Linked DNA regions of Astyanax mexicanus. The protein of the gene in region 1 purifies or fractionates together with the protein of each later gene. This does not show direct contact. Links are inferred from orthologs where the notes say so. Each region holds a gene or a part of one and is shown in the gene's direction. Other genes may lie near its edges.

The links.
Region 2: the proteins of kif23 (region 1) and shcbp1 purify together in Homo sapiens (affinity purification with western blotting; 9 studies listed by BioGRID and IntAct, with this or other methods). This does not show direct contact. The link is inferred for Astyanax mexicanus from reciprocal best matches to the Homo sapiens genes KIF23 and SHCBP1.
Region 3: the proteins of kif23 (region 1) and racgap1 purify together in Homo sapiens (co-immunoprecipitation; 10 studies listed by BioGRID and IntAct, counting the BioPlex papers as one, with this or other methods). This does not show direct contact. The link is inferred for Astyanax mexicanus from reciprocal best matches to the Homo sapiens genes KIF23 and RACGAP1.

Annotation. Positions count from the first base shown.
Region 1 is NC_064416.1:24,630,589-24,635,450, reverse strand, and holds the start of kif23 (kinesin-like protein KIF23), read left to right. Parts: upstream 1-1,449; 5' UTR 1,450-1,561; coding exon 1,562-1,575; intron 1,576-3,960; coding exon 3,961-4,027; intron 4,028-4,168; coding exon 4,169-4,297; intron 4,298-4,614; coding exon 4,615-4,720; intron 4,721-4,811; coding exon 4,812-4,862.
Region 2 is NC_064430.1:24,491,911-24,496,772, reverse strand, and holds the start of shcbp1 (SHC SH2 domain-binding protein 1), read left to right. Parts: upstream 1-1,325; 5' UTR 1,326-1,503; coding exon 1,504-1,660; intron 1,661-2,823; coding exon 2,824-3,039; intron 3,040-3,300; coding exon 3,301-3,416; intron 3,417-4,268; coding exon 4,269-4,477; intron 4,478-4,862. Other genes in the region: pop4 (ribonuclease P protein subunit p29), read right to left, coding at 108-160, 474-480. UniProt on the Homo sapiens protein: May play a role in signaling pathways governing cellular proliferation, cell growth and differentiation. May be a component of a novel signaling pathway downstream of Shc. Acts as a positive regulator of FGF signaling in neural progenitor cells.
Region 3 is NC_064420.1:6,132,939-6,137,800, reverse strand, and holds the start of racgap1 (rac GTPase-activating protein 1), read left to right. Parts: upstream 1-1,935; 5' UTR 1,936-2,095; intron 2,096-3,430; 5' UTR 3,431-3,433; coding exon 3,434-3,518; intron 3,519-3,627; coding exon 3,628-3,830; intron 3,831-4,007; coding exon 4,008-4,150; intron 4,151-4,260; coding exon 4,261-4,330; intron 4,331-4,420; coding exon 4,421-4,474; intron 4,475-4,586; coding exon 4,587-4,664; intron 4,665-4,862.

The DNA of each region.
Region 1 (4,862 bases):
TCAGTGTAACTGTAGTTCATGTTTTATAGATTTGTATTTGTTTGTTGAATTGTTTTAAAGAAAGCTGGATTAATGCAGTATATTTCACTTGAGAATTTACATGTATGTATAATGTACAGCTTATAATATATAATTGTGATTGTCCAAAAGACCGAACAATACACAATTCCATTTGTGTAGTGTTGTGTATAGTATTTGTGCGTATGTTTGAAAAGTATCTATAACAGCTATGAATTGTGTTGTAACAAATACAAATAGATTTCATTAATATGATACATAATGTTTTTTTTTTTTTTTACAAAATTGACTTTTATGCCTAAATAATTTGCTCATTATGCTGGCCATCTGTGGTAAAATTGCCTACACCCTCAGTTTGTAAGATAATTTGATTCAACACCTTAATGATAATGGTCTATGTCAAGAGTATGACTAAAGCTAAAAAAATACTTGTGCAATTGTAATTGTAAAGCTTTCCAAGACAGAGCTACCTTCACTAAATTAATTTCTACGGGACTCATTCCTAATTGGTAAGTGATGGGATTTGTACTAGAATATATTATACTTCATATTAATAAAGGCTATTTGCTATAGATATTGCATAGATATTTAGTATTACGTTTTATAGATTTATTTTGTCTGCAGTCAGCAAAATAGCTTAGACCATTAAGCTAGCTAGAAAAGTTCTACAGTTTGTGGCTGTTAAAATGTAACTGTTTTTGTTATCTGTATTTTCAGAATGTTGAATAAGGATTGTTTCTGGATGGTTCTACTGCTCAACTGTATGATAAACTATCCTCTTAGTTGATTTTTTTCGTTATAATTTAAGATTCAAATGTGCATATTAAAAAAGTGAAAGAAAAACTTAAATAATATTGATTGTTTTTAATGCCTTCTTATTACTTAAATATTCTACAAGCAGAATGTAATGTTTTAAATCTTTTAAATTTTTTATCAAATTCGGTTTTGAGAAACCATTTCATGCTGTGAATATGAAATTTCCCTAATATCACAAACTATTGTATATACTGTATAGAGTTAATTTTCTTGGTTCCAAATAATCACCTCTAAAATAAAATGCATCAAATATTCTATAAAATTTTCTATAATATTCAAATATTTTATTTTTTACACTTTTTAAATGAGTGTTAAAAAATTTAAATATGAGTTAGGAGATTATTTTAGGAAACTGTGGATAATATTCTTCTTCCTCTTAATATTATTATTATTATTATTATTATTAGTAGTAGTAGTAGTAGTAGTATTTATTTATTATTTATTATTATGTGTTTATTTATTATTATTTTTTTTATTATTATTATTATTATTATTATTATTTTTTTTTTTTTTTATTATTATTTTTATTATTATAATATTTCTAATGTTGTTGTTGTTGTGGAAGTTACGTTCCCAGCGTTAGGCGGGACATCCGGTAGCGCGAGGCGCTGGTTCTGCGCTGTGATTGGTGGATTTGAAAACTCAGGCGGAGGGAAGATTCGAACTGTGTGTCAGTGAGGAGAGCGGAGCGGCGGAGCGGCTCACAGTTAAATAAAAACAGCGCAGGATGATCCGGCCGACGTGAGTATCTACAGTGTCTCTGTCACAGTCTGAGTTTTACTGTATAAACCTGTCCGGAAAGTCTGTTTTATTTTAGACGGCTAGTAACACTGTTCTCCTACAACTCCAGCGTATCTTAACCGGCTGACTATCGCTAACTGACTAACCCGCGTCCTCCCCGTTGTGTCGCCAGTTAATTGGTTAGCTTAACTCGAAAAACTTTAACTACTAGCGTTAGTTTATAGTGCGCAGATAACTTAACATTTTATAATGTAAAATGGATTAGTAAGTCAGGAGGTTTAACCGAGTTGTAAGTTGTGGTTATTAATATGACATCGCGTTGCTTAAAACCACAAATGTCTAGCAAGTTATCCGTTAGCTAGCTAGCTTAGCTTCGCTGTTTTAATCTTGTCTTGCTATCCATCATAACATTTATTTAACGTAGCTAGTTAGCTAACCTAGCTCACAGTTAACTGGCTCATCTGTTTATACTGATAATCTGTTTAATAAATAACGTTACACTGTCTAATTTAACCTAACATTTTAACGTTAACGTTACCTGGTGTTTTAATGTAGCTAGCCTAGCTAACGTTACCCCTCCAAATACCTAGCTAACCTAGGTGTCCAAACGTTTGTGGCACTCCTAAGGAATGCATTCATATAAGTTACACCTATTTCTGACACCTATGTGTAAATTCACACACAGAGAAGTATTGTATTGAAGGGGAAAGCCTTTCCTGGACATTAGGGATTGTTAACTACTCCACCAAATATTTTTAGTTTTTTTTTAAGTAATAAAAGAGCAGGTGTCTCAACATTTGTCATTTTACTTGTTGCTACTTATTAACTTAACTTGTTTAATTCAGTAATTTGCCATTTTCAAAGAGGTCTTTCACCATGTTTATACCTTTGGAGCTCCAATCGACACTATGTAATGGTTTCTTATTTAATGTAAATAAAGGATTATACCATAGACCTGAGCTTGAAAAAAGTTTGTTTCGTATTTCAAAAATATTGCATAAAGCTTTAAAAATTCGGTTGGCATTTGAAAAAAAGATGTTTTGTTTTAAAGAAGGTGCAGGGCCATGAAGAAAAATCTCCTTCAATGAAAAAGGTTGGGCCAATTCCTCCTCTAACTTAAGTAAAGTCGAAATTTACGCAGTTTAAAAGAAAAAATTAAAATAGGCACCTCTGATTCATATATATTTTTACATCTAAAGAAAACAATTGATCAAATTTATACAAATACTACTTTTAAACCTTCCTCACTTGAAACTGCTTTGTTTGATTTTGAAAATCGTAATAAAATTGTATCCAAATTATATATGAAAATTAGAGATTATCATTGCCCAATCTTTAAAACATCACATAGCAAACTTAGAAATGTATGGAATACTGACATTAATGAAGTCTTGGATGATAATTCCTGGAATTTAGTATGGAGCAACAAAAAATGTTCAACTCCTAGTATGAAGCTAAGATCTATTCAAATGAAAATATTACATAGAATACATTACACTCCTCAGAAATTACATGATTACAGACTTCATGTTTCAAATCTGTGCTGGAGATGTAAAAGAGAAGAAGGGTCACTTATCCATATGTTCTGGTCTTGCCCATGTGTATTACCTTTTTGGAAAAGTATTGTTGAACATTTATCTAAAATCACAAATGTTAAAATATCACTTTCTCCAAGACTAATTATATTAGGTGACACCTCTGTATGTAAACTTAGCAAAGTAACTTAGTAGCTAAAATGATTTTATCTTCTGCATTAATAGGCAAAAAAAGTAAAACTATTTTACTTTCATGGAAAGAGACACAGCCACCTTCTTTAACTATATGGAAAAACTTTTTAATGGAAAACATTTTGATGGAACGGGTGTCCTATTCTTTTAACCCAAAATATAAACTATACTATGGAATGTGGGACAAGGCAGCAGAGTATTTAAACTCGATTGACTTATAGCTATGCAACATTTCTTATACTTCTGTATTGATTGCTTTATTTTATAGAATCTTTTTAGTGCTTATAACACTGGTGCTTATTCTTTTTTTGTGTGCTATTAGCAAATCTTTTCGTTTGTTTGTTTGTTAGTTTGTTTGTTGAGATTGATTAATGTGCTATTTTCCTGTACATTGTAATTACTTTAAAACCAATAAAACATTAAATAACAAAAACAAAAAAAAAACTTAACTTGTTTAATTCATAATATGGGATTTACTTCCACTTTTAGACCTGTCAACAGGTTTACTTTTGAATTGAAAAATAAACAAAGTAAAATGTGCCACCGCCTGCTTGCTTCAGCCAACAGAGCATGTACCTTTTGGTTCAGGTCAATTAACATTATCTGTTCTCTATAGTTAACGTTACCTGCTTTCTATATACCGCATTTTATATTACAGAAAGGGTAAGACCCCTCGCCGACCAGCTCCTAAAAAGCCAACAAACAACCAGAAAGATCCGGTTGGGGTATGTTTGATGTTAATTTTTGCCTTTTAGTATGTTTATTGCATGATCTTTGGTAATCAGCTCATTAATCTTGGTGTGCTCCTGTCACATTACTGGAAATGGTGATTACAGTGTGTAACCTTTGTGTGTGTGCTTGGGAAGGTGTACTGTCGAGTACGTCCACTAGGTGCAGATGACGAAGAATGCTGTGTTGAGGTGATCAGCAGTACTACCATCCAGCTGCATGCCCCTGATGGACTCAAAGCCAACAGGAATGGGGAATTTAAAGAGGTTAGATGGTTTTGTTTATATCTTCCACAGCATGAATAAAAATAAAAATTAGTAACTAGATTAGTATTACATTATAAAAAGAATATTGCGTTTACTACAGTTAAACAGTGCTTCAGACTTAATTAATTCAATATTAGTTCTTTAGATGAGGCGAAATTATTAAGTTTAATTTATATTGTTTTTTTTTTGTTTTTTTTTTTAAACTGAACATTTTGTTCAGAAAACTGGCATTTTGTGTGTTATAGTTGCATACAGTAAACATGTTGAAGTCAGTGTGACCTCCGCTGATTGAGTTTATCTTTATTGTTACTTTGCAGACTCAATATTCCTTCAAGAAAGTTTTTGGAATTAAAACCACACAGCGGGAATTGTTTGAAGATGTTGCCAAACCTCTTGTGGATGACCTTATTCACTGTAAAAATGGTAAACTTGGACTTTTTGCTTGATTTCGATTTTTCAGCATGGTTTATTTTTCTAACATATGTAAGACAATATATTTGTTTATTTAAAACAGGTCTTCTCTTCACCTATGGTGTTACTGGCAGTGGAAAAACCCACACAATGA
Region 2 (4,862 bases), on another chromosome or scaffold:
GTTCATTTTACTCAAACATAAACCTATAAATAGCGGTTCAAATAGCTTGGACTTATTGGTTTACTGTAAATAGAGCAAATCAGTCAGAACCTGAAAAGAACTCTCACCTGAACTCCTAGAAGTTTACCATCTTCTGGAGGAATACTGGAAAACGCTGCTTCTGTGAACAAGAAAAGAACAAAAAACAGCAATGACCGGCAAAGGAACACATTTCAGCTATTATGTTAAAAACATATAGTTTAGTGTTCAGTGACTTTAACAAAAAATAAAACAAAAACGAACCTTAAAGAACCTAAATCTAATGCTAGAGGAACGTTTAGTGTTATCTGGGGAAACAACAGCCCTGGATTGGTTATTTAGACTCAGTTCAGCAGGAAGACTCGGTTTACAACACACAACACTCACTAACAACCGCGCGTCGCTTTAATAAACCTGTTATTAATGTTATTAATACAATAATAATCCACACTTACCCGCCATGCTGGATCCACACCGGCTCCCCCAGTGCTGAAAGCCGATCACCGATCGCCAAGTCCGGTACGTGAGACCTGAGTAATCAACCGCAGCTTCCCTGATTCAGTCATTTCTACAGTACATGTGTTTTATGTCCTTTTTTAAAATACATTTTGGTTATAAATGTTATAAATTACTCAAAATTATTTCTAAAATGTCTAAATTTATAGTTAATAAAAATCATTTTTTATTTAGACCTCTGTATACTAATGTATTTATGTTTTTTACAAAAGACTTTCTGAGGTGTAGATGTCCTATAATGTTATAAACGGCATTAAACCTTTTTATAATAATAATAAAAAATACTTACCACTCCGTAAAGCTACAAAATTATTTCAAATTAGAGATTTAACATCTTTTTATTTAATACATTTTGAAGTGTAAACTTGTGTGTATAGTAAAACATTTTTTTCAGTTTTTGAGTTTTAAAGTCTGTCCCCTTTAAAAATAAAAAAGCATATGTTTCAGGTATTTTATGTAACATTATAGGTATGTATAAACAAAGAAAATATTTTATTTATTCTGATCTAGATCATTTAGTAAAAAGTTGTTTGCATCAAATTATGGTGCAAAATTGGACAAAAAATGTCAAAACTACACTATATTTAAAGCAAATAAAAATAAAAAAAATCGCAAGGTAATACACATAGACAAAAACAATCTTTTATTAATAATTTTATTTATAATTTTCTAATTTTATTTTTTTTATTTCTATAAAATCCACGTCTTTTACAAAAGCCCCGCCCCCTCTTGGGCGAAACCGCTCTCTATTGGTCCGCTGTCACCGGACGCCACTTTCTATTTGTCCGCGCGTTTGCAGGGTGGATTTGAATGCAGCTGATTTGAAGCGAGCAGTGAGGAGAGTTCAGTTATTTAGTTATTTTTATTTAATTTAAATTCACACTTTTTACACAGTTACGGGTTTATATGCGTGTTTATATATTTAGTTGATTATTTGTAGTATTTAGATTGTAGTTGAGTGTTTTTGAGATGAAGGCTGAGGGCGGTGGAGTGTGTGTATCTGAGGGTGGAGAGCAGCGGCCGGTGGATGATCAACAGCAACAACCGGACCAGACCGACCCAGAGCCAGAACCAGAGCCAGAGCCAGAACCTGAACCAAAACCGGCGCCCAGACTCTTACCCAGAGGTACCAGAACCGACTTACTGATTTACTAAGAAACTAATGCAGTACAGCGAAGTGTCAGTGAGACAGCTTAGAGATACAGCCAGCGGTTTAACACAACAACTTAGCTAGCACTAACTTACCAGCTAACGAGGTTAACAAACTAACGTTAGCTAGCTTACTTATAAGTAACGTTAAGTGATTGATTAATTAACTAACTAACTAACTAACCTAGCTAACTAAATAAGTAGTTATTATTTAATTAATGAACTAACTAACTAACTAACCTAGCAAACTAACTAACTAAAGTTACCTAAATAAGTATTTAAATAACAAGCAAACTAACTAGCTACCTAACTAGTTGACTAACTAACGTTACCTAGGTAACTAGTTAACTGACAAGTTAACTAACTAACTAGTTACTATCTATCTAACTAAATCACTAGTTAACTAACTAACTAACTTAGTTAACTATCTATCTAGCTAACTAAATCACTTTATACGGTCATGATAAACCTGGGAAAGTCATGAAATTCAAAAATAGCAATTTCCAAGGATTGATTAGTTTTGGAAAAATAAAAAAGACCTAGAACGTTTTGGAAAAGTCCTGAAAACCTTGTCCACAAATCCTTTATGTTTCAGTTTATTGAAGGAGAAAAGCTATTTTGAGCTACAAATACATCAGCTCAGAGTTAATTCAGTAATTTAGCCTTATAGAGTAGAGCTCTCAGGATCTGACACGCATTTTATTATTAAAGATTGAGTGTCAACATTTTTATCAGATTCATTTTAGGCCTACTATCTTCAATTTTGTTTTTGTGTCTGCACTGATGTTTTAAAAATCATATGGTCATGAAAATGTCCCTTGAAAAATCATGAAAATGTATTGGTTAAAACATGTATGAGCCATGAACATAACTATGACCATGAAAACTTAAAAATAAAACATAACTATAAAACCATTAACTGTGGTACTGTGTGTAGCAAAGTGCAGTTACAAATGACTGTTTATGTGGCCAGTTATGTTGACAAATTGATCCATCCTTAATAATGTCTCCATAAGCACAGAGCGGGATAACAGTAAAAATTCTGCAGAATTTCATTCAGAAAGTGAACATTTCTATGGGTAAAACGCAGGTATAGTGATGATATATCGCTGTAAGTGATGGGAACTCTTTCCTCTGTAGCGATGTTTCAGGATGACGAGCACGATGAAGAGGAGGATGACGAGGATGACGATGAAGAAGATGACAGCGGCACAGATGGGCTGTCTAACGATGAAAAGCTGTGCACACATTTACAGCGGGCCGAGGCGTTCGGGAGCGCGGGGCTGCCTCACATCTTCCAAACCAACCATCTGCTTTTCTACGAGAGATTCAAAGCCTATCAGGATTACATGCTCGGTAACTCGCTGCATATTAACCTCATCATCTGTAGATGTGTCACTGTTTATTATGTTCATAATCACATCTGCTGATCTCTATACTGAATAGATCAGCAAATGGATAAATACAGTATATATAATACTTTTTAAAATATTATATTAAAATTCCCTGAGGTATAATATATAAAGTATATAAAATATCTAAAATATAAATGTTTGACCTCCATTAGACCTCTGAAACCTCTCCTCACCCATCTCTGTCTCTGTCTGTCTGCTGCAGGCGACTGTAAACCTTCAGAGGTGCAGGAGTTCACTGCGGATTACCTGGAGAAGGTGGTGGAGCCATGTGATTGGCAGGCGCTGTGGCACACTGACATGGTTGATGTTCTAGTTGAAGTGAGTGCAAAGAGTATTTGCTCGTCTGCCTTTTCACACCTACACAAAATGACTAGTTTCTTTGATTTTACCAAATTGAAAACCTCTGGAATATAATCAAGAGGAAGATGGATGATCACAAGCCATCAAACCACCAAACTGAACTGCTTGAATTTTTGCACCAGGAGTAAAGCAGCATAAAGTTATCCAAAAGCAGAGTGTAAGACTGGTGGAGGAGAACATGAGTTATTCCACCAAATATTGATTTCTAAACATTTAAAACTTTATGAATGTGAACATTGTATATGAATATTGTTTTCTTTGCATTATTTGAAGTCTGAAAGCTCTGCAATTTGTTTGTTATTTTTGCCATTTCTTATTTTCTCCAAATAAATGCTCTAAATGACAATATTTTTATTTGGAATTTAGGAGAAATGTTGTCTGTAGTTTATAGAATAAAACAACAATGTTAATTTTACTTAAACATAAATAGCAAAATCAGAGAAACCTATTTAGAAACTGAAGTGGTCTTTTTATTTTTTTCTAAAGCTATATGAACTTGAGTGACATCCTTTTCTTAATCCATAGGGTTTAATATGATCTCAGCCCAACCTTTACAGCTATAAGAGCTTCAGCTCATCTGGAAAGGCTTTACACAGGTTTAGGAGTGTGTTTATGGAATTTTTTCTCATTCTTCCACAAATACATTCGTGAAGTCAGACATTGATGTTGGATGGGAAGCTCTGGTTATCAGTCTCTATTCTAATCCATCCCAGAGGTGTTCCATCAGGTTGAAGTCAGGACTCGACTGTGCAGACCAGTCAAGTTCTTTCACACCAGACTCACTCATGCATGTCTTCATGTGTTCTGCAGGTGGTGGATGTTGACTATAAGGAGCTGAAGGGGAAGGTGGAGCTAGTGGAGCCCCTGCAGTGCGAGTATCGAGGTTGTGACCTCACTGAGGACTCGGTGAAGACGTTACTGGAGGCCAAGCAGAATAAAGTCCCGCTGCAGGAGCTCCATGTGGTTTATGATGAATCCGGAGAATTCGACCAGACAGCTCTCGCTCTGGAACATCTCAGGTTCAGCTCTCTTACTCAGTTACTCACACACATAACCACACACTCTACATGGAAGGCACATGGAGATGGTTGGAGTTATGCAATAAGGAGTAACCATTTCAATTCATATAGAAATCACATTAAAATCAGTGGATGAAGATATAAATCTGTACCAGTGGTAACATATTTAGAGTTTATACTAAAAAAGAATGGAATGGTAGAAGCTTAAATTGAACTAGAAAAGGTTTTAATAATCAAAATTCTTGAATGTTTGACCAACGTTTTTATTTTCTTTTTTTTTTATTTTTTATTTTTTATTTTTTTTACATCCTGGCATAAATACCAACAAAACACTTTTTCCTCAACTGTGTTATTATAATCCTAAATTTACCTCAGTAGTGCTGTT
Region 3 (4,862 bases), on another chromosome or scaffold:
AGTATGTCTCTTTCACAAACACCGTCTCTCTTTCTCACACACCATCTTTCACAAACACACCTTCTATCTCTTACTCACACACAGTCACACACATCTCTTTTACAGACACACTACCTCTCTTACTCTCATTTCTGGACACCCTACACAACACACTCATTCCACCTGATCAGATTGCTGGCCCAGAGCAGCTCAGGCACGTTGTCATTTGGGACAAAGTAAGTATCCACCTGGCTGCTTTGGTTCATAACTGGTTCACTGCCCACACACTCTTGTCAGTTGTATATCTCCCCCCCATATTCTCCATTCCTCAATCCTATTGATGATTTTTTTCCCGCCTGGAGATGGAAAGTGTATGACCTAACTTCACAAACGGATATACCCCTTCTCCAAGCTATAGAATATGCATGTGGAGATATAGCAGTTGATGCATTGAATAGCTGGATTGCTTGTGATGTTGGTTAGATGCTGTGGCCAGACTAAAACAGAAGACAGGATGCAGCATAGTTTTTTTGTTTACTGTAATTTTATACAATAAACTCTTCTGTTGTTTTGTATGTAAATCACTGCATCTTTGTATTGGTTGCATTGTACATGTGTACATTTTGTTGGAAAAATAAAATTATTATTTTACTGTGTATTTGTCTGTTCTGAGTTAAAAAAAAAAAATTAATATTTTACAACGCACTTATGTGTTTACTGTCTGTATGTCATTATGATGAATGGAGAATGGTGTTTTACACTGAGCACGTCAGTGTTCAACTGCTTCTTTTAATTGTCTGTTCATATGATGGTTTCTGTGTGTCATCTGAACACAAAATAGCCTTTTGTGAAAATATAACACTGTTTTGAATGTAAAGTTTCATTTTGCAGGAGAATTGAAGGATTTTGCCCATTGTGTGCGTTTTTGTTGGATTTGTGTGTAGAGTTCTGAGAATATGAGGCATGTTTTCAGAAAATGTGTGTAAACAATCCAGAAAACTGTAAAAGTTTTTGATGGGGAGGTTCAGGTGAAGCTTTGGCAGCTGGTGTTGGGTTTTCTATTCTCTGCTGCCACCATCCGGCTCTTTCAGGCGAAGCCTCTCTGGGTTGAAAACGCAAGAGGAGAGAGACTAGCAGGGAGCTTAGTAAAACAGATTTATTGTGCTGCTGAAGTGGGCAATAAAACGTAGTGGGGAAATAAGGGGGAAAAGAAGGAAAAATATATTATAAGGACAAAATATAATAAACATTCCATACTGCATTTTGCTTTATGGAGGTTTATGCTCATATATAAGAAGATAAAAACAAATTAGATATTGTATGATATTTTTTCTTTACCTTACTTTATTTGTGGTTATTTTGATATTTTAGTTATTTTATTTAGTTCCTTTGTTTACATTTCAATATAGAATATACAATGCTAGTCAAAGTCAAGCCAGTCATTTTTTTAGCTAAAAATAGTAGAAAATAGTTGTACACAAACAAAAAGAAGTAAAGAAAACAGCATGCTTTATATTAATTTGGACTCACTCGAACTGAATTAAATTGAAAGAAAACGAGATATTATTATTAAAGAAAATACAAATAATATAATTTTAAGGGAAAAAAAATATAGACACACAAAGCTTCAGTTTTTTCATCACATGTGTTTGTTGAAAAAAAATCCATCATAGCTTTTTTAAAAATGTAGTAATTATTGAGTTATTTTATGATATAAGCTTAAAAATATTTTTATGTATTATTTAATAGTTCTTCCTTATAAATATAACTTTTACTCACAAAAAGAAAAGGATATGTAATATTTATACATAATGTTTTTTTTTTTTTTAATTCAAAATAACAAATGTTGTCTTTGGAGTTAAAAATAATTCAAAGTTTAATGAGACTCCGCCCCCCGCTCTGCCTCACTGTTCACGCCTGCGCAGCTTGGCGCTCATTGGCTAGCGGGTAAATTTGAAATGTAACTACACTCGCTGCTAATCCGTTAGCGCTGTGCTCAGACCGACCCAGCTCTGATGGGCAGGCAGCGATTTATAGTGTAATTCAGCGGGTTTTCCCAATTTCCTCCTGATTAATATCATCAGAACAGATCACAGCGAGAGGACACAGCGCAGAGGTGAGTATTTTACCGGGTTTTATCAGATTTTACCGCAATAATAGTTGTTATTGTTGTTCAACAGCACCGGGATTAACTGTAGTTACTGTGTGAATCTGTTTAAAATCACCGCACAACACAGAACCCGCTGCTAATTTATCGTTACAGGATTACCACATTAGCTGATATGTTTACTATATTTTCTTGAGCGTTACATTAACTAACTGCATTCCTTAGAACTAAGTTAGTTAGCTTAGCTAGCTAATGTGCGTTCACCTTGCTTTGGGGTTGACTTGTGCAAGTTACACAGTCGGTTAGCTTAGCTAGCTAACTAACGCTAGCTAGGTCAAGTTAACTAACGTTACTTAAGGTTATTTTGTAGGCATTTTAGCGAACTGTTTGTGATGTTAAAACTGTATAAAATGTCAACGTTAACTATCTAATGTTTGTATTATAACGTAGCTAAGGTCTGTTTATAGCGAGTTTAACGTTACTAGCTAACTTTACCAAGCTAGGTAACAATGTAAAGGCTGTTTTAACTTGTTGTTGTTACAACAGCGTTGTTGTTGTTAGAACAGAATTGTGGTGAGTTGTGCTAACTTGTGGGCTACTCTAGTGTATATTTAACTGTAAAAATACAAAACAAGCACCGTATTAGAGCATGTTCCCTGTATAAGTCTTTTATAATTATTGTATGTAACTTTTATTCACACTTTAGTGCAATGACAGTGAGTCCAAGTTGTTTAATGCACAAACAAAAAAAGCATTTATTATATATATATATATATATATATATATATATATATATATATATATATATATATATATAAATAAAACGAGAAATAATCAAAAGGTGTAGGTCAGCGCATGCGCAGTGCCTTTAGGAAGCACGTATCGATGGGTAGCATAACTCGACAGAACACCTGGCAAGATTCGGCTACCTATTTGTTAATTTTTAGTTTAATTGGATTAGCTTGGGCATACTAGTTATTTAGCGTGGTCAGCTTGATCATGCTGGCAGACACAACCAAAAATAAAGTGCTACATGTGACTAAGTTGGACAAGAGTTCAATGACTAACTCTTTCTTTTTTTGTATTTTATATTACATTGGGAGAACTCTGTACAAAGTTTCATACAACCTTTATATATATATATATATATATATATATATATATATATATATATATATATATATAATATATATATATATATATATATATATATAAATATAAATAATTGTTTAGGATTGTTGAACTTAATAATTTAACATCTTTGTCAGTTATTCAAAAAAAAAATATATACAGAGCCTTTGTAGAATCAGTTCTGTTTTTTTAATTTTTTATTATTCTTTGTAGAACATGGACACTGCTGTGATGAACCTTTTTGGCATTTTTGAAAATCTAAGAGCCCATGTTGACGTCCTCAGTGAAAGCATCGAGCCTCGTGAGTTGAATTACACTGTTTATTTTACACATAAATACAACCTGCCATGTGTGTATATGCAGCGGTATCATGGGAACAGTCTTCCTTACACTTACGCTTGTATTTATAGAGTTCATTCAGATGGCCCTGAACTTTGAGGACTGTCGGCGTAAATGGCTCCGAGTGGAGCAGGATTTCGCCTCGTGTAAGGAGGTGCTTGCCAAGGCGGAGACTGAGAGAGGGGCTCTGGAGGTCAAACTTAAACACGCTCGTAACCAAGTGGACGTGGAAATCCGGAGACGACAAAAAGCTGAAGCAGACTGCGAAAAGCTGGTATGTGACCTGGAGACATTGCACATACCAGACAGACAGAAATGCTGATTGACATTTGCCTTCCATTCATTCCACGAGTGCATAGGTTGCTTTATAAAGCTCAGTAACTGGTGAAGTAGGGCTTTCTTAGAGTAAACCCAGTAAATAATTTCTTTCTTTCTTTTTTGTTGTCCACAGGATCGTCAGATCCAGCTGATCCGAGATCTGCTGGTCACGGAGGGTTCTAGCAATAGCATCCAGCTGAATGATGAGCAACGCTCAGCCCTGGCTTTTCTTAATGCACGCTCTCAGACACCTGCTAATCTCAACAGCAGCCGAAGGTGAGGGAGAGAAAAATAATATCACTGTTTATTAATATGTCACACTCAAGCTTAGGAATAAGCTGCTAAAATATCTCTCTTTTTTAAATTGTAACATTAATTTTCTGTAGGTTGACCACCATTGATGAATCTGCCTCAATCCTATCAGACATCAGTTATGATAAAACTGATGATTCGTTGGTAATTAACTTTCTATTGACTTTAATTTTTGCTGTTTATTCCATAGAGTTAAACATATAAACATAATTTGATTTGTTGTTTTCTCAACAGGACTGGGACTCCTCTGTTGTCAGAACTGTTCGACTGAAGAAACGTCAGAAGAGAGTAAGCTGATGACTTGTGTATATTCATCTATAAAACCCAGTTCATGAAATTTGGACATTCCTTAAAGCAAATATGTGATTTTAAATAAATTATTATTATTATTTTTTTGTAGCGCTCCTCCCGAAACCACACTGAAGGTCCACCAGCTGCTGCCAAGCGGTCTCGATCCACTGGCCGCACTTCTGAAAAGGTAAAAGACCATATATGTATATGTAATGTTATAACGTCCATTTTCTCACTAAGAGTTCCCCAAAGAACTTTTAATTTCAACTTTAATGTAATTTCAGCTACAGCAGATGTTGGTTATACCATCTCATTTAGTATATGTTAAATTGGACCTTCTCCAAATATAAGGCAACAGTATTGCTTTTGCAGACATAGTTCAGAC